Linked DNA regions of Sus scrofa. The protein of the gene in region 1 interacts with the protein of each later gene in a pairwise test. Links are inferred from orthologs where the notes say so. Each region holds a gene or a part of one and is shown in the gene's direction. Other genes may lie near its edges. The genes, in order: PTPN11 and TLK1.

What was found.
Region 2: the proteins of PTPN11 (region 1) and TLK1 interact in binary tests that used the Homo sapiens proteins (3 or more experiments, as listed by UniProt). The link is inferred for Sus scrofa from reciprocal best matches to the Homo sapiens genes PTPN11 and TLK1.

The regions. Positions count from the first base shown.
Region 1 is NC_010456.5:39,286,705-39,297,513, reverse strand, and holds the start of PTPN11 (tyrosine-protein phosphatase non-receptor type 11), read left to right. Parts: upstream 1-5,474; 5' UTR 5,475-5,696; coding exon 5,697-5,710; intron 5,711-10,809. UniProt on the Homo sapiens protein: Acts downstream of various receptor and cytoplasmic protein tyrosine kinases to participate in the signal transduction from the cell surface to the nucleus. Positively regulates MAPK signal transduction pathway. Dephosphorylates GAB1, ARHGAP35 and EGFR.
Region 2 is NC_010457.5:77,214,587-77,224,894, reverse strand, and holds part of TLK1 (serine/threonine-protein kinase tousled-like 1), read left to right. Parts: intron 1-3,331; coding exon 3,332-3,442; intron 3,443-3,556; coding exon 3,557-3,693; intron 3,694-5,609; coding exon 5,610-5,798; intron 5,799-10,308. UniProt on the Homo sapiens protein: Rapidly and transiently inhibited by phosphorylation following the generation of DNA double-stranded breaks during S-phase. This is cell cycle checkpoint and ATM-pathway dependent and appears to regulate processes involved in chromatin assembly.

The DNA.
Region 1 (10,809 bases):
CTCACATTATATTGGACAATCAGTGCTGGTCTAGAGGGATGTCCATTACATATTAAGAGAAAAAATAAATCATAAAGTTTTATTTTTATATATACACACACATGGAGTTCCCTGGTGGCTCAGCAGGTTAAGAATCTAGAGTTGGAGTTCCCATCGTGGCTCAGTGGTTAATGAATCTGTCTAGGAACCATGAGGTTGCAGCTTCGATCCCTGGCCTTGCTCAGTGGGTTGAGGATCTGGTGTTGCCGTGAGCTGTAGTGTAGGTCAAAGACACGGCTCGGATCTGGTGTTGCTGTGGCTGTGGTGTAGGCCGGCAGCTACAGCTCCAATTTGACCCCTAGCCTGGGAACCTCCGTATGCTGTGGGTGCAGCCCCAGAAAAGACAAAAAAAAAAAAAAAAAAAAAAAGAATCTGGAGTTGCTGCCACTATGCCATAGGCCACAATTTCTGTGGGGGTTCCATCCCTAGCTTGGGAACTTCCACATGCCTTGAGTGTGGCCAGAAAAAAAAACTTCCCATATATGTTATGTGTGTGAATGAGCAGGATGTGTAATATATGTGTGTGTTCATATAGGTATAGAGAAAAGTGTGGAAGGATTGACACCAAATTTTTTTTTTCTTTTTAGGGCCCACCTGTGGCATATCCATACTCATGGATACTAGTCAGGTTCGTTACTGCTGCGCCACCACAAGAACTCTGACACCAAGTTAATGCTGATGGGGGTTGGGGTAGGGAGGTTGTATACATTGTGAAGCAGGGAAAATTACTATTTTTATTTGGCCTGTTACAAGGAGCTTGTATTGTTTTTGTTGTTGAGAAAGAAATTAAAATAAAGTATATCTAAATGACTATTTCTTAAGCTTATTATATGCCAGGCCCTGTGTTAGGCTCTGGGCATATGAAGATGCAGAAGGCAATGAGTTTAAGAGGAGCTCCTAATCTAGGGGAAGAGACAGAGAAGTCAACCAACAATGACACTGAACTGTGTTAGGGGCCAAAAGAAGCATAAACATGCAGCTCCCAAATCATAGGGAGAGACTCCAAAGCCTCTGCTTTATTCTAAGTAGTCAAGAGTTTTGTGCTGTGCATGTTTCCTGGAGAAGCTTATTGAGTTGAAGTGGAATCTTGCAGGATGCTTGGTTTTTTAGATGGAGACCATTTGAAAAGGTATTTCAGACAAAAATAACTAAATTTTGGTAGACAGGGATACAAGAAACAGCCAGAGGCATTTGGTAGATAGGGATACAAGAAACAGCCAGAGGCATATGTGAGGGAGTAGAGGTAAATGAAACTGACCAGGTAGGCATAGTTCATGTTTAGAAGGGCCTGATGTGTTAATGGAAGCATTTTCTTTCTTCCTTTTTTTTTTGGTGGCAGGGGTGGGGGGCACCTGTGGTATGTGGAGGTTCCCAGGCTAGGGTCAAACTGGAGCATGGGAGCTGTAGCTGGTGGCCTACGCCACAGCCACAGCAATGCCAGATCTGAGCCACATCTGCAACCTACACCACAGCTCATGCCAACGCTGGATGCTTAACCCACTGAGGAAGGCCAGGGATTGAACCTGCATCTTCATGGATCCTAGTCAGGTTTGTTAACCGCTGAGCCACGATGGGAGCTCCAGGTGATTCTTCTTATTCTAGAGGAGATGACTTCCAGCCTGAGATCAGAGTTCACAGGGAGGGAGGTCAGAATCATCCAGGAACAGGGAGAAGATTGTTTAAAGGCTCTGAGCTGGGAGAGAACAATTGAGGGGAAATGGAAGTTATTCAGTATGGCTGGGTCACAGAATGCTTGGGGAGGGGAGCAGCTGGTTAAGTGAGCAGGGACCAGAACAGGTAGTTATGAATTTTTTTTTTTTTTGCTTTTTTTAGGCCGTACCTGCGACATATGGAGGTTCCCAGGCTAGGGGTCTGATCAGAGCTACAGCTGCCGGCCTACACCACAGCTACAGCAATGCAGGATCCGAGCTGCATCTGTGACCTACATCACAGCTCATGGCAATGCCAGATCCTTAACCCACTGAGCAGGGCCAGGGATCAAACCTGCAACCTCATGGTTCCTACTCGGATTTGTTTCCACTGTGCCATGACGGGAACTCCTGATCATTATTTTTTAATGGTCCCACCCAGGGCGCATGCAAGTTCCCTGGCCAGGGATTGAATCTGAGTCATAACTTTGACCCAGGCAGCAGATGTGGCAATGCTGGATCCTGTGGGGATCAAACCTGAGACTCCTCAACAACCTGAGTCACTGCAGTCAGATTCTTAGCCCACTGTACAACAGTAGGAACTGTGTAAAAAAAAATTTATTTTTGGTCTTTTTTGGGCTGAACCCACGGCACATGGAGGTTCCCAGGCTAGGGGTCCAATCAGAGCTATAGCCTCTGGCCTACGTCAGAGCCACGGCATCCTGGGATCCAAGTGGCATCTGTGACCTACAGACCACGCTCACAGCAACATTGGATCCTTAACCCACTGGGTGAGGCCAGGGATCGAACCCTTGTCCTCATGGATGCTATGAGGGTAACTCCCATAAAATTTTTTTTGATCGTATCCTAAAAGTAAAGAGAAGCCATTGAAATGTTGAATTTAAGGAGTGACTAGTTTTTTGTTTTAGATTACTGTGGCTGTTACATGGTGAATGGAGTGGAAAGGGCAAACCTGCAGGTCTGAGATCAGTCAGAATGTTGTTTGAGTCATTTGGGCAGCCAGGATTTAGGCGAATGGAAAGAAACAGGCTGGGCAACTGTTTGTTGAATGCCTGCAACCTACATCCAACTGGCATATATTAAAGGTGATTTTTATAAGGGTTTTTGGGTAACATTGAGGCTGAAGCAGTTAGCACATTTTATGACAGTTCTTTGTATTAGAGTGAGATGACTAGCAGTGGAAGGAAAAAATGAGGATTTTGGATGATGTGAGTTTGAATTCTGGCACTGCCACTAACTAGATCTGTGGCCATTAATGAGCCACACAGGCATTCATCAGATAAAAACTCTGTCTTCTCACTGCGGTCTAAGCTGCTATCATCTCTAGCCTGGAATTACAGTATTTTAATATTCTGAACTGGTCTCTATTTCTAGCCTTGCCCTCTTGATTCACTTAATCAAAGTACCAAAGTAATACTTTTTTTCCCCCGCTTCTTAGGGGTGCACCTGCAGCACATGGAAGTTCCCGGGCTAAGGTTTGAATCAGAGCTGCAGCTACTGGCCCTCACCACAGCCATAGCCACAGCAATGCGGGGTCCTAGCGGTGTCTGCAACCTACACCACAGCTCATGGCAACACCAGATCCTTAACCCACTGAGCAAGGCCAGGTGTCATACCCGCAACCTCATGGTTCCTAGTTGGATTCGTTTCTGCTGCACCACAATGGGAACTCCCTTATATTCCTTTTCTAATATTTCTTTGTTAGTATACAGAACTGCAACTGATTTCTGAATGTTAATCTTTTTTTTTTCTTTTTTTTTGCCTTTTCCAGGGCTGCACCCGAGGCATATGGAGGTTCCCAGACTAGGGGTCCAATCGGAGCTATAGCTGCTGGCCTACGCCATGGCCACAGCAACGTGGGATTCGAGCTGCATCTGTAAACTACACCACAGCTCACAGCAACGCCAGATCCTTAACCCACTCAGCAAGGCCAGGGATTAGAACCCGCAACCTCATGGTTCTTAGTCAGATTCGTTAACCACTGAGCCATGATGGGAACTCCTCTGAATGTTAATCTTATATTCTGCTATTTGCTGAATTTGTTGATCAGTTCGAGTCGTTTTTGGGTTGAGTCCTTAGGGTTTTCTATGTATAGTATCATGTCATCATCTGCATACAGTGACAATTTTACCTCTTCTCTCCCAATTTGGACACCTTTTATTTCTTTTGTCTTATTGCTTTGTCTAGTACTTCCAATACTATGTTGAATAAAAGTGGTGCGAGTGGGCATCCTTGTCTTGTTCCCGATTTCAGTGGGAAGGCTTTCAGCTTTTCTCCATTGGGTATTATATTTGCTGTAGATTTGTCATAAATGGCTTATTATTATGTTAAGGTATATTCCCTCTACACTCACTTTGATAAGAGTTTTTATCATGAATGGGTGTTGAATTTTGTCAAATGCTTTTTCTGCATCTATTGAGATGATCGTGTGGTTTTTTTTTTTTCCCACCATACAGCAAGGGGATCAAGTTATCCTTACATGTATACATTTTTTCCCCCACCCTTTGTTCTGTTGCAATATGAGTATCTATACATAGTTCGATCGTGTGGTTTTTGACTTTTCTTTTGTTGATGTGGTGTACGACATTGATTGATTTGCATATGTTGAACCATCCTTGTGATCCTGGGATGAATCCCACTTGGTCATGGTGTATAATCTTTTTTATGTTTTTGGATGCAGTTGGCTAAAATTTTGTTGAAAATTTTGGGGTCTGTATTCATCAAAGATATTGGCCTATAGTTTTCTTTTTTGTTAACATCTTTGTCTGGTTTTGGTATTAGGATGATGGTGGCATCATAGAATGTCTTTGGGAGTGTTCCTTCTTCAAACTTTTGGAAAAGTTTAAGGATGGGTATAAGTTCCTCTTTGTATGTTTGGTAGAATTCACCTGTGAATCCATCTGGTCCTGGACTTTCATTTATAGGGAGTGTTATCATTTCCTACTACTCTCCTTATATTTCCTATACCCTTCCCACCTCCTACTGTGCTCCAGGCAGAGATTTCTTCATTTTCCCTCCTGCCTCCTGCCTCAGGCCCTTTGCAATGGCCTCTCCCTGTGCTTGAAATGCTCTTCCCCTAAATTATTCTGTCTATTTCTACATCAGATCTTTACTCAAACGTTATCCTTAGTGATAACGTTATCCTTTAAAATAACATAAACGGCTATGGAGAAAAGAAGGGAAATGAGGATGGGAGTATTTCTCTTGATTACTATGGCTCCTATCACAAGAACACCGGGATTTTTGTCTTTTCATCCCCATAGTCAAAAATAGAGCCTAGCAGATAGAAAACACTTGCATGTTTACTTCCAATAAAGCACTTAATAGGCCAGGCCTCGTTCTAAACATTTTACATTTTTAATTCTCCCCATAAACCTAAGAAGAAAATACAATTCTCGTTGTACAGAAATGAAGGAATGGAGGAAACAGCCTCAGAGAAATCAAGCAGTTTTCCCAAGGTTACATATCTGGAGCGAAGCGGCTGTTTGTAGAATGAAATGAATGAAATTCGACTTGACGGCGCAGGAATGGAAATCCACGCGGTGGGAGTGGATGCGATCAATTCCTGTGAGCGCGTGAGACTTTGAGCGCACAGCACAGGCCCCGCTGTGAAGGCCTAAAGGAGGAGGTGAGGGTACTTTGGGAACTGCACGGCAGCTGCTTCGCCGAACCACTAAATTGCCATAACCAGTTGCAGATCAGCCCCGGCTGACTGGAAGCAGGAAGTAGCGGCCGGCGTCGCGCGGGGTGACGTCATGGTGGCGCCGGCGCCGAGGGGCGGGGGAGAAGGAGGAGCGAACCGAGGTTGGGGGGCGGCTGCACAGTCCCCGGGATCCCCAGGCCTGGAGGGGGGTCTGCGCGCGGCCGGCTGGCACTGCCCCCCGTCCGGTCCCGAGCGGGCCTCCCTCGGGCCAGCCCGATGTGACCAGGCTCAGTGGAGCCTGAGCAAGGAACCGGTCCGTCGCGGAGCCGGAGAGCGGGAGGAACATGACATCGCGGAGGTGAGGAGCCCCGAGGGCCCAGCCTGGGCCTCAGCCCCGCACCCCCCCCGCGCCGCGTTTGGTCTGCCCGGCCTGGGAAGGGGCGGCCGGGCCAGGCTTCGGACTCCGGCCCGGGGTCGCGGGGGCAGGATCTGTCCCAACTCCCTGTCCCTCCTGGGCCCCAGGGCCCGGCCCCACCGCGCCCCCACCCCTCGCGTCCTCATTCATTTCCTGCCTCCCCGAGTTCCGGCTCCTGCAGCCCTGGGGATGCCCGTCTGGACAGGGGCAGGTAGAGCCGCCCCAGGAACCGCGGACGCCAGCGGCCCGGCTCGGCGCCGCATTCCTGACCCATTGCCTCATGAGAATTGCCTCATGGTGATTCCGAAATAACCCCGCTCACTTGGGGAGGCTCCTCGGTCCGGGACGCGGGAGGGGAGAGGAGGGAGTTGCGCGGGGCCGGGCCCCAGTTGATCGAGCGGCTCTGGGTCACTACTTTTTGCGCGCATTCGGGGGCTTTACTCAGGATCCCTGACCCCTTTACATGCCTTTTTGCATCCCGTCCCCCCGACTACTCACGTGCCAGAAATGGAAAAACTGACTGTATCTACAGCTATTAGAAGTATTTCCTTCCTCTGCGATCTTCTCTTTGGGAGATTGGAGGGCAGGGAGCTCTGTCTCTAGTTATTTAATCCTTCACCACAACCGTAAATGTCTGGTAACATTAATCACCCCCGTTTTACGGATGTGTAAACTGAGGCTCAGAGGAAACATGATAGTAATAGGATTTGAACCGAAGAGTCCTCAGAGTAGTGAATTGAGATTCTTTGAAAGTTCAGTGTAGTTATACCATTAATAGCTAACATTTATTTAGCTCTTACTGTATGCCAGATACGTTTAATCCTTACTCTCAACCTATGAGATAGGTAGTGTTATCACCGTTCTAAAGATGAGTAAACTGAGTTTCAGAAGTTAGGCAACTTGCCTAAGGTCAGTCTATCAATAAGTAGTGGAACCAGAATCCCCACTGTTAATTACTAGGTTGCTATTATTGTTTCATAACTATTGCCAATCATTTGTAAGCCTTAATTTTGTTGTTAAACAGTAGTATGATCTGTTGTTTTCAGATAACGATCCTGCTATGTATTGCTACTTTTTATATACGATTCAAACATAAGATCCATTGTTTAGACTTTCCTTCATTGTCCTGTTATGGTCACTGTCTCAGACATTTGAAAAACTGTTTCAAGCTGTTAGAGTTATTTGAATGAGAGATTTCAAAATATTAGGAATGCTTTCTCAAAAACACCTGCATATTTTCCATTCATGGAATGAAAAGAGAAAGAAGAAAACTGAAAACTTAGAAAGTGAGTGCTTTGGACAGGTCTGTTGGCAAGTGCTTACAGATCTGGGTAATACATAATTGCATTTCAGCAGAACAGTGTATAGCCTCAAATGTGCTTATTCTTTAGGGAGCTTTTAAATAAAACAGTTGTCTATTCTTTAATCTGTCAAATAGTCATTGAGCCTTTTGTTCCTTGTGTCTGCTCTTCCAGACAAGTAAGGATCTGCTTCTTTTAGGAGACAAAAAGATTGGGGGCTGGGGCTGGGATAGGGGCTGGGTAGTAATAGACTCTACATTGTCTAGCTTGTTAGTTTAGAAGCCAGGAAGTGTGGTATAGCCAAAGCAGCAAGTGGTAAAGATGACAGCTTGAAATGGAGTAATTCCTTCTCTCCTCCAGCCCTCTCTTACCTGTTATGGAAAAGAAATGTGTGCCACCTAAAAGTCATATTATGAATATAACACACATAATTGGAAACTATTTATTTTTATTTTTCAGATAGATGTTTTATTTTTAACCAGCTTTATTGAGGTATAAACGACATAGGATAGATTGCATATATTTGTTTTTCTTTCTTTCTTTCTTTTTTTTTTTTTTTTTTTTTTTGTCTTTTTTGGCTGCCCTGCGGCATATAGAAGTTCCCTGGGCCAGGGATTACATCCAAGTCGAAGTTGTGACCTAAGCTGCAGCTGCGGCAACACAGGATTCTTAACCCACAGTGTCAGGCTGGGGATGGAACCTGTGTCCCAGTGCTCCCAAGACGCTGCCAGTACCGATGTGCCATAGCAGGAACTCCCAACTGCATATATTTAAGCATACAGTTTGAGAAGTTTTGACACATAGATACACTTGTAAAACCATCACCATAATTGAGATAATGGACATATCCATCACGCCTTGCCATGGCTCCTCAAGCCCTTTCTAATCCCTTCCTTCTCAGACAAACACTCTTCTGTTTTCTGTCCCTGTGTATTAGTTTGCATTTCCTAGAATTTTGTATAAATGGGCTTTGATGTATGGTTTCTTATGCTCAGCATAATTATGTTGAGATTCAACCATATTATAGTGTGTGTGTCAAATAGTTCATTACTTTTTATTGATTAGTAATATTCCATCGTATGGATGTACTGCCATCTATTTATCCACCTACCTGTTGCTGGACATTTGGGTTGTTTCAGAGTTTGGCCATCACAAATAAAGCTGCTCTGAATGTTGGTGTACAACTGTGTGTATAGCTGTGTACCTCATTCCTCTTTGGAAAATACCCATCAATGGTATGGCTGGTTCACATAGTAGATATATATTTAACTTTTTTAGGGGCGTTCCTGTTGTGGCTCAGTGGTTAATGAATCTGAGTAGGAACCATGAGGTTTCAGGTTCGATCCCTGACCTTGATCAGTGGGTTAAGGATCTGGCGTTACCGTGAGCTGTGGTATAGGTCCCAGGTGCGGCTTGCATCCTGTGTTGCTGTGGCTTTGGCGTAGGCTGGTAGCTACAGCTCTGATGAGACCCCTAGCCTGGAAACCTCCATATGCTGTGGGAGAGGCCCTAGAAAAGGCGCGCGCGCGCGCGCACACACACACACACACACACACACAAACTTTTCCAGAAATTGGCAGACATTTTCAGAATGTTTATACATGTACATTCCCACCAACAGTATGTTAGAGTTACAGTTCCTCCACATCCTGAACAACACTTGGTATGGTCCATTTTTAAATTTTAGCCATTTAAAAGGTATGTCGTATCTTGTGGGTTTTTTTTTTTTTTTTTTTTTTTTTCCCATGTTAGCACTTTAAAATTTTGAAATTTTGGAGTTCTTGCTGTGGTGCAATGGGATAGCCAGCATTTCTGGAGCACCTGGATGTGGGTTTGATCCCTGGCCTAGCACAGTGCGTTAAGGATCCAGCATTGCAACTGTGGCTTGGATCTGATCCCTGGTCTGGGACCTCAGTATGCCTCAGGGTGGCCAAAAAAGAAAAAAAAAAATTAAATTTTAATTGTACTCACTTAATATTTTAATTAAGGTGTAATTGACATATAACATTCTGTTGGTTTTAGGTATACAGTGTAATGATTTGATATTTATTCATTGTAGTTTTAATTTGTATTTTCTCCAATGACTAATAATGTTGATCATCTTTTCATGTGCTTGTGTGCCATCTTTGGTGACATGTCTATTTGATCAAATATTTTCCCTTTTTACCTGTTTATTTATTTATTAGTCGTGCCTGCGGCATGGAAGTTCCTGGGCCAGGGATCCAACCTGCACCACAGCAGTGACCCGGGCTGCTGCAGGGAAACACCAAATCCTTAACCTGCTGTACCACAAGGGAACTCCATATTTTCCCTTTTTAAAATTTACTTGTTTGTTTTATTATTGAAATTGGAGAGTTTTTTGTTCTGGAAACAAGTCTTTGATCAGAATTGCAAATATTTTCTTTTAGTCTGTGACGTCTTTTCATGTTTAAAATGGTGTTTTAAACAGGGTTTTTTTAAATTTTGATGACGTCCAGTTTATCATTTAAAAAAAAAGGATTATGCTTTTGGTGACATTTCTAAGAAATCTTTGCTTAACCCAAGATCTTTTTTTTTTTTTTTTTTTTTTTTTAAGCTATTTCTTGGGCCGCTCCCGCGGCATATGGAGGTTCCCAGGCTAGGGGTCCAAACGGAGCTGTAGCCACTGGCCTATGCCAGAGCCACAGCAACGCGGGTTCCGAGCCGTGTCTGTGACCTACACCACAGCTCACGGCAATGCCGGATTGTTAACCCACTGAGCAAGGGCAGGGATCGAACCCGCAACCTCATAGTCCCTAGTCGGATTTGTTAACCACTGTGCCACAATGGGAACTCCTGCTTAACCCAAGATCTTAAATGTTTTCTCTTGTTTCCTACAATTTTTATAGTTTTAGGTTTATGGTCCACTTTGAATTAACTTCTGTATGTGGCATGAGGTGTGGATGTATCTTCTCTTTTTCGCATATGGGTATCCAGTTGTTCCAGCACTATTTGTTGAAAAGACTTTCCATTTTTATTGAACTTGCACCTTTGTTGAAAATCATTTGTCCATTTATATGGGGGTCGTGGGTCTATTTCTGGACTCTAGTCTGTTCCATTGACTTGTCTTTCCACATGATCTTGATTACCATTGCATTATAATAAGTCTTGTCTTTTTTTGGGGGGGAGCTGCATCTGCGGCATATGGAGGTTCCCAGGCTAGGGGTCCAATTGGAGCCATAGCCGCTGGCCTATGCCAGAGCCACAGCAACGCAGGATCCAAGCCGTGTCTGTGACCTACACCACAGCTCAGGGCAATGCTGGATCCTTAACCCACTGATTGAGGCCAGGGATCTAACCCGAGTCCTTATGGATGCTAGTCGGGTTTGTTAACTGCTAAGCCACGACTGGATCTCCTAACAAGTCTTGAAACTAGATAGTGTTAGTTTTTTTTTTTTTTTTTTTTTTTGTCCAGGCTGGGCCTTGTAGAAGTTATAGGGGCAAAGATTGAACTCATGCCATAGCAGAAACCCAAGCAGTGACAACACGGGATCTTTAACCTGCTGAGCCACCAGGGAACTCCCCAAGATAGTGTTAGTCTTGGAACTGTCTTCTTTTTCAAATGATTTTTAACCCCAGAATGAATTCATTCAACAAGTAGTTACTGAACCAGTTGGTACAACAGGCAAATATTGCTGTTCTAATGGTTGGGAGAGAAAATGGACCAACACATGAATAAATAAAACCATTTCAGTAGTAGTAATTGCTGGGAGGAAAAAAAAA
Region 2 (10,308 bases), on another chromosome or scaffold:
GGTCACGCAATGATCATCACAATCCAGTTTTATAGGATTTCCATTCCACAACCCCAGCGCATCCCCCTGAAGTTTATATAACACTCTATGTACTCTTTTCCCTGTTTGTTTTCACTAAACATTCTATGTGGAATTGTCATGTATTCATTTCACTACTATATAGTAAGACATTATATGAGTGTACTGTAATTTATCTTTTCTGCTCTTGGTGGACATTTTATTTCTACTTTTTGCTAATATGAACAATTCTGCTAGGAACATTTTTGTACATGCCTTCTATAGCAGACGTGGAAAAAATTCTCTACGGTCTATGCTTAGGAGAGATGTGGCCAGAGTACAAGGCATGCATATCCTCAGCTCTATTTTATTTTATTTTATTTATTTATTTATTTATTTATTTATTTTTATTTTTTTTGTCTTTTTGCTATTTCTTTGGGCCGCTTCCGCGGCATATGGAGGTTCCCAGCCTAGGGGTCTAATCGGAGCTGTAGCCACCGGCCTACGCCAGAGCCACAGCAACGCAGGATCCGAGCCGCGTCTGCAACCTACACCACAGCTCACAGCTCACGGCAATGCCGGATCGTTAACCCACTGAGCAAGGGCAGGGACCGAACCTGCAACCTCATGTTCCTAGTCGGATTCGTTAACCACTGCGCCACGACGGGAACTCCATCTATTTTATTTTTGTCTTTTTAGGGCCTCACCCATAGCATATGGAAGTTCCCAGGCTAGTGGTCGAATCGGAGCTGTAGCCGCTGGCCTACATCACAGCCACAGCAGCACAGGATCCGAGCCGCATGTGCATGTGTGACCTCCACCACAGCTCATGGTGATACCAGGTCCTTAACCCACTGAGCGAGGCCAGGTATCGAACCTGCGTCCTCATGGACGCTAGTCAGATTTATTTCTGCTGCCTCAGCTCTACTTTATAATGGCAAATTTTTTCCCAAGGTGGTTGGATCATTTTACACTCTACCAGCAATGGGCAAGAAATAATCTTATTGCTCATTATCCTTGCCACAGATCAAAGGTATACCAAAAGAATTAAATGTTTTATTCCTGAAGATCATAAAAGATGTTCCATGTTTTAATAGTTTTATAGTCTGATTTTTCAATATGAATTGTTAATCTCACTGGAATTCATTTTTGAGTGTGTTGTGAAGTAGTTTCATTTTAATTTCTTTCTATAGAGATAACCAGTCGCCCAGACTATGTAATTACCAGTCTACTCTTTACCACCTGCTCCATCATATAATCTCATTTTCTTTATACAAGTGGATCTATTTCTGTGTTCTGTGCTAAGTTCCATGTTCTGTTTGTGTATTCCAATACTAGTACCACAGCATCATTTTATCATTTAGCAGTTGTCTTTGGCTATTAGTAACAGAGAACATAAACAACAGTACTTTAAATGAGATAAAATATTATTTTTTGAGGGAAGAATAGAAAGGTGTGCTGGCTCCACAGTGTCATTGGATCTTGGCTCCTTCAGTTTTTCAGCTCCCTCATCCTTAGCACATGGTATTCATCTTGAAGGTCATTTCAAGGTAAAATATTTATTATAGTCACAATTATGGTATCTGTGTTCATAAGCAGAAAACAAAAAGAGGAAGGAAATAACAAGTGCAACAATTCTGTGTACAGTCTTCTTAGGTATTCCATTGAACAATTTCTGCCTACATTTCACTGACCAGTGTTAGCTGCAAGGGATCCTGGGAAACAGTCTTTTAGTTATTTACATATTAATCCAGAATAAAATATAAAATTTTCCTTTTTTTCTTTTTTGGTTGCACCCACAACATATGGAAGTTTCTGGGCCAGAGATTGAATCCATGCCACAGCAGTGACAATGCCAGATCCTTAACACACTAGGCCACCAAGGAACTCATTGTTTTCCATTATTAAAGAAGAAAGAGAGAATATACTTCAGTGATTGTAATTACTATAGGTTTCTTTTAAATATTGGTGTGTGGTTGAACAAGTATCTTCTTCTTTTTGGGTATTTTTGGCCCTTTGCACAAGTCTTGGAGAAATGTTCAAGTCATTTTTCAAGTCATGGATGTGTACAGACAAACACAGTTGGAGTTTTGTTTGAATTGCACATAATGATGAGGGTCTGTTGCTGAATTCCATTTTTTTTTTTTTTTTTTTTTGTCTTTTGTCTTTTGTTGTTGTTGTTGCTATTTCTTGGGCCGCTCCCGCGGCATATGGAGGTTCCCAGGCTAGGGGTTGAATCGGAGCTGTAGCCACCAGCCTACGCCAGAGCCACAGCAACGCGGGATCCGAGCCGCGTCTGCAACCTACACCACAGCTCAGGGCAACGCCGGATCGTTAACCCACTGAGCAGGGGCAGGGACCGAACCCGCAACCTCATGGTTCCTAGTCGGATTCGTTAACCACTGCGCCACGACGGGAACTCCTGAATTCCATTTTTGTTCCTCTGAAAGCATCTTTATTTTACCCTTTCTGTGAAAAAGTTTTATTAAATATATGCTTTTCGGTTGGCAGCTGTATTTTGTCCCAGCATTTTCAGCTTATTATACCACTGTCTTTTTGCTTCCAGCATGATTGGGCTAGACCTATGGTTTTCAAAGAATGACCCCCAGATCAGAAGCATCGGCATTACTGGACAGCTTTTTAGAAATAAACTTCAGACCCTCCTCCAGGCCTCCTAACTCAGACTCTGGAAATGGGTCCAAGCAAGCTGTGTTTCAACTAGTTCTCTAGGTTATTTTCTGGACTGAACTGTACTAGACTAATCAAACTTCTGAGCTAAGAGAGAAACCCCTTCCCTGAGCATATGGCTGCCTACAAAGCCAACAAAGTCGGTATTCATATGGCTGAGAAAGATGACGAGAATAGTTAGCTATTGAATAGGCATCTGCAGTGTCATCCACAAGTTTAACGGAGAAAAAAGTTTTATTAGTTACAAATGATGGAAGAGAACTCATTTTTAAGTGTTGAACACTTTTAATATGTGTTAGTTATTTTTAACTAATTGAGATAGATGGTATTGCTCTCTTTTAGAAATAAGAAAACTAAACTAAGGTTCAGATGACTTACTTAACTCAGCCAAGATTGTATACTGGAGAGTGGATTTGAACCCATGGAGTATGGGTACAAATTCCATGTACTTTCCACTACACAATTAAGCAGCATATGACAGTCTTATCCCATGGTAAGTAGATGTTTTAACAGATTGTTTTAGTTTCATACTCAAGTACTTAATCTTATTAATCCTTCTCTTTATGTAATTTGTTGAAAATGTACAAATATTCATAAGTGTCTCATATACAAAAATTCTAGCCCTTTTCTCATTGTCTGCTTGTAGGCTAACTGTGATCTCAGACGGCAGATAGATGAACAACAAAAATTACTTGAAAAATACAAAGAACGATTAAATAAATGTATATCAATGAGCAAGAAACTGCTTATTGAAAAGGTAAGTTAAAAGCTTAATAAAATTTCTGTTTCCTTTCACCAGTCCCTTTCACCGTGTATGCTTTTAAAATTTAAATTAATAAAATTGAATGATGATTTTCCCCCCTTTTTTCAGAGTACACAAGAAAAATTGTCAAGCCGAGAGAAGAGTATGCAAGACCGATTACGCCTTGGGCATTTTACAACAGTTAGACATGGTGCTTCATTTACTGAACAATGGACAGATGGTTTTGCATTTCAGAATCTCGTAAAGTTAGTCATTCTTAAATATTTCAAAAAATTTAGCATTCCTTTGGGTTTTCATTACTTTTAAAGATTATAGGTTTGGAATTATGTCCTGCTTCTTAACTACTCTTGGAAATCATAGAATTTAGTGCCTTAAAACAGAAATGTTATAATTTTAGCTTTAGCAGACTTTTCGATTGGTTAACATTCATCCATATAGTAACATATTCAACCGTATAGTATGATGTACATGCGGCTTTTGAAATTCTGAGGTGAACTTTAAAATGGAGAAATCATTAGCATGTTTTCTTGAGTATACATGGTGGCAGGTAAGAATTGGGTGACTGCTTATGTGTTAAGGAGCTGGGATCTATGCTCTTCCCTTTTTTTTTGCTGGAAAACTTTTAGAAACCTGAAAAGCAAGAGTAGTACCAACATTTAAATCAGCCTTATCAGAGTCAGTCCAGTTAAATGGAAAATGGAGGCAAAGCTTATTTCATACAGTATCACAAAAAAATTGCTGTCTCAAACCCTGGGCTCCAGTCCTTAACACAGAATGGCCTTCTATCTCCATTGATTTATTCAGCTTTTGTTCCACACACTGTACTGGGTATACTATAATGAAGCACAGTGTCTTTGTGATGGTAGGAAATGGGATTTTTTTTTTGCCCTTTAGGGCCACACCTGGATTATATGGAGGTTCCCATAGTAGGGGTCGAATCTAGCCACAGGTGCCAGCCTACGCCACAGCCACAGCAACACAGGATCTGAGCTGCATCTTCAGCCTACACCACAGCTCACGGCAACGCCAGATCCTTAACCCACTAAGCGAGGCCAGGGATTGAACCTGCAACCTCATGGTTCCTAGCTGGATTCATTTACTGCTGTGCCATAACAGGAACTCCAGAAATTTTTGGATTTTAATTATGTGGATAATGGGGAACTGTTAAAGTTTTGTATATAATGAATGAGGTCAGAATTGAGTTTTTTAAAATATAACTTTAAAAAGATGGTAATGTGAGGATAATGTAATAAATTGTTGACAGTTCAGATGGAGAAGCATCCGAATGAAAGATGGTTAGGCTTGAGCTAAACTATTAATAGTAAAAGTAGAGAGTAGGAGATACAGTTGAGACGGAACTTAAAAATTTTGAGTGTTTTATGAGCTGCAAAACCCAGACCTACAGTTGTCCTGGTAATGTTTAAAAGAGAAAACTACATAATATAACTCTAAATATAAATCTTAAGTATAAACTCTGCTAGTTAGAATTTCTCCATTAAGCTGTCAAAAAAAAAAGAATAAAATTGGGAATTCCCATTGTGGTTCAGTGGGTTAAGAACCCAGCTAGTACCCATGAGGACACGGGTTCTATCCTTGGCCTCTCTCAGTGGTTTAAGGATCTGGCATTGCTGTGAAGACCTGGCTTGGCTTTGGCTGTGACTGGCTGGCACCTACAGCTCCTATTTGACCCCTAACCTGGGAACTTCCATATGCCACGGGTGTGGCCTTAAAAAGGCAAACAAACAAAAAGCAAGTATTTATTGAATGCCTAGCATGCACCAGTCACTGTGCTGGGCACTTGGGATACAATGAGTATAAAATAGTTGTGATCTCTATTTTTATGGATTGGTGTAGCCTAACCAGACACATTCTGATCAAGTGTCTCTAGGAATACTTGCTGAAAAGAATAGTGGTAAGCTGCAAGGTACCGTGACATTATATATGGCCACACATCTTTCCCTAGTCCAGGGGGTTTAGGGAAGACCTCATTTAGAAATGAATGTTTCAAATGAGACCTGGACAATGAGAACAAGTTGGTTCACCAGGTAGACCATAAGGTTACAAATTTGTATTATATCATTTTTAAGGTTTACTAATGTGTTTTCATGTTTTAAAAGTAATGGAAGGTTAATATTGTTATTACATTTATTTTTTTATGCAGGCAACAAGAATGGGTGAATCAGCAAAGGGAAGATATTGAAAGGCAAAGGAAACTTCTAGCCAAACGCAAACCTCCCACAGCTAATAATTCTCAGGCACCCTCTACCAATTCTGAACCAAAACAAAGGAAAAATAAAGCAGTCAATGGAGCAGAAAATGATCCTTTTGTTAGACCAAATTTACCACAATTGTAAGCCTGCCTTTTTAATTTTCTTTTTTTTTAAATCATTGCCAGTGAGCATGAATGTTAGTAATGGATAGTAATTTTATGGCTAAGAAGGAAGGCAGTATTGAAAAGATCTACCTCTAGATTACTGATAAGCCCTAAATACCTGTGTTCTACCTTAGTAAGTGGAAATTTACTAATCCGCTTTTAAAATGGAATCTTAGGTAGCTAAGAGGAGGCTGGAACCCACTCTTTATTCCAGGTCGGAATGATAGAGCTAGTTATCCATTTTGATTATTCCAATTCAGTGTTCCTATTAATGTTCCTTTTTCTAAGAGAATGTTGAGTAATGTAACTGACATATTTTCTCAACCTATGAAAGCAGCACATTTGGAGGTTGTAGGTATTACTTTTTTCCCTTTTCTGCTTTCCTTTGTTCTCTAGGTTATCTGATTTAATAATGAATCACTCTTTATAATTCAAAAGACAATGCCATTTTTAAAAAGTATATATGCTTACTGTAGAAAGTTTGGAAAATATGAAAGAGCATGATAAAACAGTGTAGACTATGACCCAATCCCACAGAGAATACTATTGTTAAAATTTAAGTGTACAGGAGTTCCTTGGTGGCTCAATGGGTTAAGAATCCAGCTTTGTCACTGCTGTGGTGCGGGTTTGATCCCTGACTTGGAAACTTTTGCATGCTACCAGCATGGCTAAACAAAATTTTTTGGAGTTCCCATTGTGGCGCAGCAGAAACGAATCCAACCAGAAACCATGAGGTTGTGGGTTCAATCCCTAGCCTTGCTCAGTGGGTTAAGGATCCGGTGTTGCCATGAGTTGTAGTGTAGGTTGCAGAAGAGGCTTGGATCCAGCATTGCTGTGGCTGTGGTGTAGGCCGGCTGCTGTAGCTCCACTTTGACCCCAGCCCAGGAACCTCCATGTGCCGCAAGTGCAGCCCTAAAAAGCAAACAAACAAACAAAAATTTCATTGTACAGATGCAACCTAAAATATATAATTTTTCCATTCTGTAAGACTTTGTGTAAGTTTATGAATAGAAAATACATACCCACACCTTCTGCTTGTATTTTACATGTTTCTCTTTTGTCGAGAGAGAATGTTTTATCTATGATTTGAATCCCATCACCTGCTACATCAGGGATCTCCTGTTGATACTTCCTTTATCTTACATCTTGAACCCTTTGATCTCTACTTGTTCCTTCCTTTTAGGAAACAAAACAAAACATCTCTTACATAATTTTAAATCTCTCTAGTCTCCATATTCTGTCATCTTTATAACTAGATTTCCTGAGAGATTTGCTTGTGCTTCCAGTCTTTTCTGCTTCACTTGCCATTCTCTTTTCTTAACTGAAATTGTTCTTTTAAAGATTGTATCCTTGATCTAAATACTATAACCAGTTTTTACCTTAGCAGCATTGGATATTGTTTACTTTTTTTTTCCCTCAAAAGACTCTTTAGACCTAGTTTTTGAAATAAGCTTGTTTTCCTAATTTTCATTTTAACTTATCTGGCGCGGTCCTTTCATTCTCTTCTATAGACATCATTTACTGTAGCAGTTTGTAAAATGTAGAGCTTTTAAGACTTTGTCCTAGGCCATCTTACCTCTTACTCTATGTATTCTCCTTGAGTATTAGCTACTCCTAGGGTTTCAGTTACCTTGTTTATGCTGTTGCCTCCAAATTTCTGTTTCCAGCCTTCTTTTCTCTCTTGAGTATCAACTGTTTGTATTTTAGTCTTTAATGTCATCTCATTGCTTAGTTGATATTGGTATTTAAGTGCCTCACAGGGCCTCTAATATAGCCTATTCAAAAGTGTATTTACTAAACACAGAAAATTAAACTATACTTATTAACTATTTAAGTCTCTCTCCATACCCTCCCCCACATTGCCTTCTCCTGTGTTTTCTTTGTTAATAAATGGTACTATCATTTTTTCGGTTCCTCATGCCAGAATTCTGGTTGTCACCCTTAGCTTTTTAGATCCAGATTCCATTTATTTTTCTTACTCTATTTTCATTTTTTTTTTCACTAATAGGTGGTAATAATCTTATATTTTAAAGTCTAGTTTCAGTCCTCGGTCTAGGACCTTCCGCATGCTGTTGGTACAACCAAAAAGGGGGAAAAGACTAAAATCTACTAATATACTTCTTCATGCCTTTCCTAAATTTTTTTGGGGGGAGGGGGGACTATTTTAAGTTAGAATTAAATCATTTCACTATTGATTTAAAAAAACTTAATGAGTTACTTTTCATAAATCAGTAAATTTATTGCTTTAAAAAGGTGGATGGAGGGAGTTCCCATTGTGGCTCAGCAGGTTAAGAGCCCAACACAGTGTCTATGAGGATGTGGGTTCAATCCCTGGCCTCACTCAGTAGGTTAAGGATTCGGCTTTTCTACAAGCTTTGCGGTAGGCCAGCAACTGCAGCCGTAAAAAAAGGAACTGAGCTGTAAAAAAGGAAAAAAAAAAAGTTGGATGGATAGATGAGCTGTTATATAGAAGAAATTGTATGTTAGCTTCAACTCCATCCCCAGACACCCAATCTTCAGGAGCTCAAATGTGTCCACTGTTATCTCTCATTTGGGTTATCTCTTCTCACCCCCACCACCCCCCTCATTTTTCAGCTTTATTCTAGTCCTCCAATCCATTTTCATCTTGCAGAGTCTTTTTTCCCAAATAAAAATGTGATTTTATTTTTCTTCCTTTTAAACGTAACACAGCTCTCCATCGTTTGAAGGACATAATCCAAAAGTCTTAAAAAGCTTATAAAGCATTTTTGATCTGGTAGCTTCTGACCTCTCTAGCCTCATCTTTTATTGCTGATAAAAGGCACTGGTGAGTGCCTCCTACTCGCCACCAACTTTTAAACTCCAACCCGTTGTCTTAATTTCTGTTCACCTTTTAAATCCCATACTAGGTATTTCCTCCTCATGAAAGTTTTTCTTTGACCCTCAAAGGATAAGAATTAGTTTTCACTTGGAGGTATTGCCATAGTGCCTTCTTTGTCTTCTGTCACACCATCATCATTCATTCAGTTAATCATGCTAGAAACGTCCTAGATGTTTGTCTTTTCCGTGTTCTCTGTGTCTATTCCCAACAGTTTTGTATCTGTCCATCTTCATTGCCACTGTCTTGCTGTAGGACTGCACCCCCCCCTTAACTTAGATTACTGTTACTTACGTGTCTCATCATGTCACTTTCATGTTTAACCTCATTCACCGGCCTGAAGGTAAAATTCTCTCTCGTGAAGATGCTGTATAGCCTTCTTATTTCTCTCACTCTCCAATGTCTGCCCTATTATCCTATGTTAAACTCTTTCAGTTCTCTAAATGGATTGTGCCGTTTTGTTTCTGTGCCTTTGTACATCATGTTCCTTGCCTTTCTTTACCTCTCTCATTTCCTTCTCCTCCTCTAAGGTTTGCTTCAAATGCCAATTTCAATAGGAAATCCTCTTTGTCCTTTTTTCTTTCCAGTTGTTCTGCTTTCCCCTCAAGTTAGGTGCCCATAGCCATTTATACATGTCTATCAATATTATAGCATTTATCTTACCATTTTATCTCTATACTCTCAATATCTAGTACAGTTCCTGGCATATGGAAAGTGGTCAATAAATACTAAATTATAGTACATAAGCATTTGATTGAATTTCATTTTCTCCTCTGTAGACTATTTTTCTAATTTGTCACGGTTATTGTGCTTCCCACTTGTCTTCCAAGATGCTAACAGCCCTAACTGTAGTTTATTAATCTAAGATTGTCTCATTCCTATCTCATTTTATTGCATTTTTTGACTTCTTACTAACCCTGAATTTACACTGCTATGTGTTTTTGGAGTCACAAATGAAGAGATAACTATATAGCAGTTGGACTACATCCCTGTACAGTGCAGATTTAAATAGGGAAAGAAGCCACAGTAACACTTTGATTGATATATATTATTTTGATTTTACTCTGCAGCTGTCTTATGCTTTTGAATCACTGTTTAGTGAAAATTAAGCTTTGCTTTGTATACAGAATATGTAGAATGATGAGATGATTAGAGGTCATGAATTTTTATTTTTCTGTCAAGCAATTAACATAGGAATTCTCTGGTGTCTCAGTGGGTTAAGGATATGGCATTTCTGCTACTGTGGCTCTAGTTGCCCCTGTGGTGTGGGTATGGCCAAGAAGAAAGAAGAAATTAACTGAGAAAATAAAGTGACTTCTGTGTGGTGGTTAGGATTAAAAGCTCTGTAGTTGGATAGATGTGGAATCCAACCTTAACTCTTCCGGGTGGTTTTTTTTGGTAAGCTGTTTTTATTTCTTAGAGTATTCATCATAATGTTGAAAGGATGACATGATGTGATTCTTGTGAAGTACTTACATGGTTCCTGGCTCTTTAATTTCTTTTTTTCTTCTTTTTAGGGCTGCACCTATGGCATATGAAAGTTTCCAGGCTAGGGGTCGAATCAGAGCTTCAACTGCTGGCCTGCGCCACAGCCACAGCAACGCCAGATCTGAGCCACACCTGCAGCCT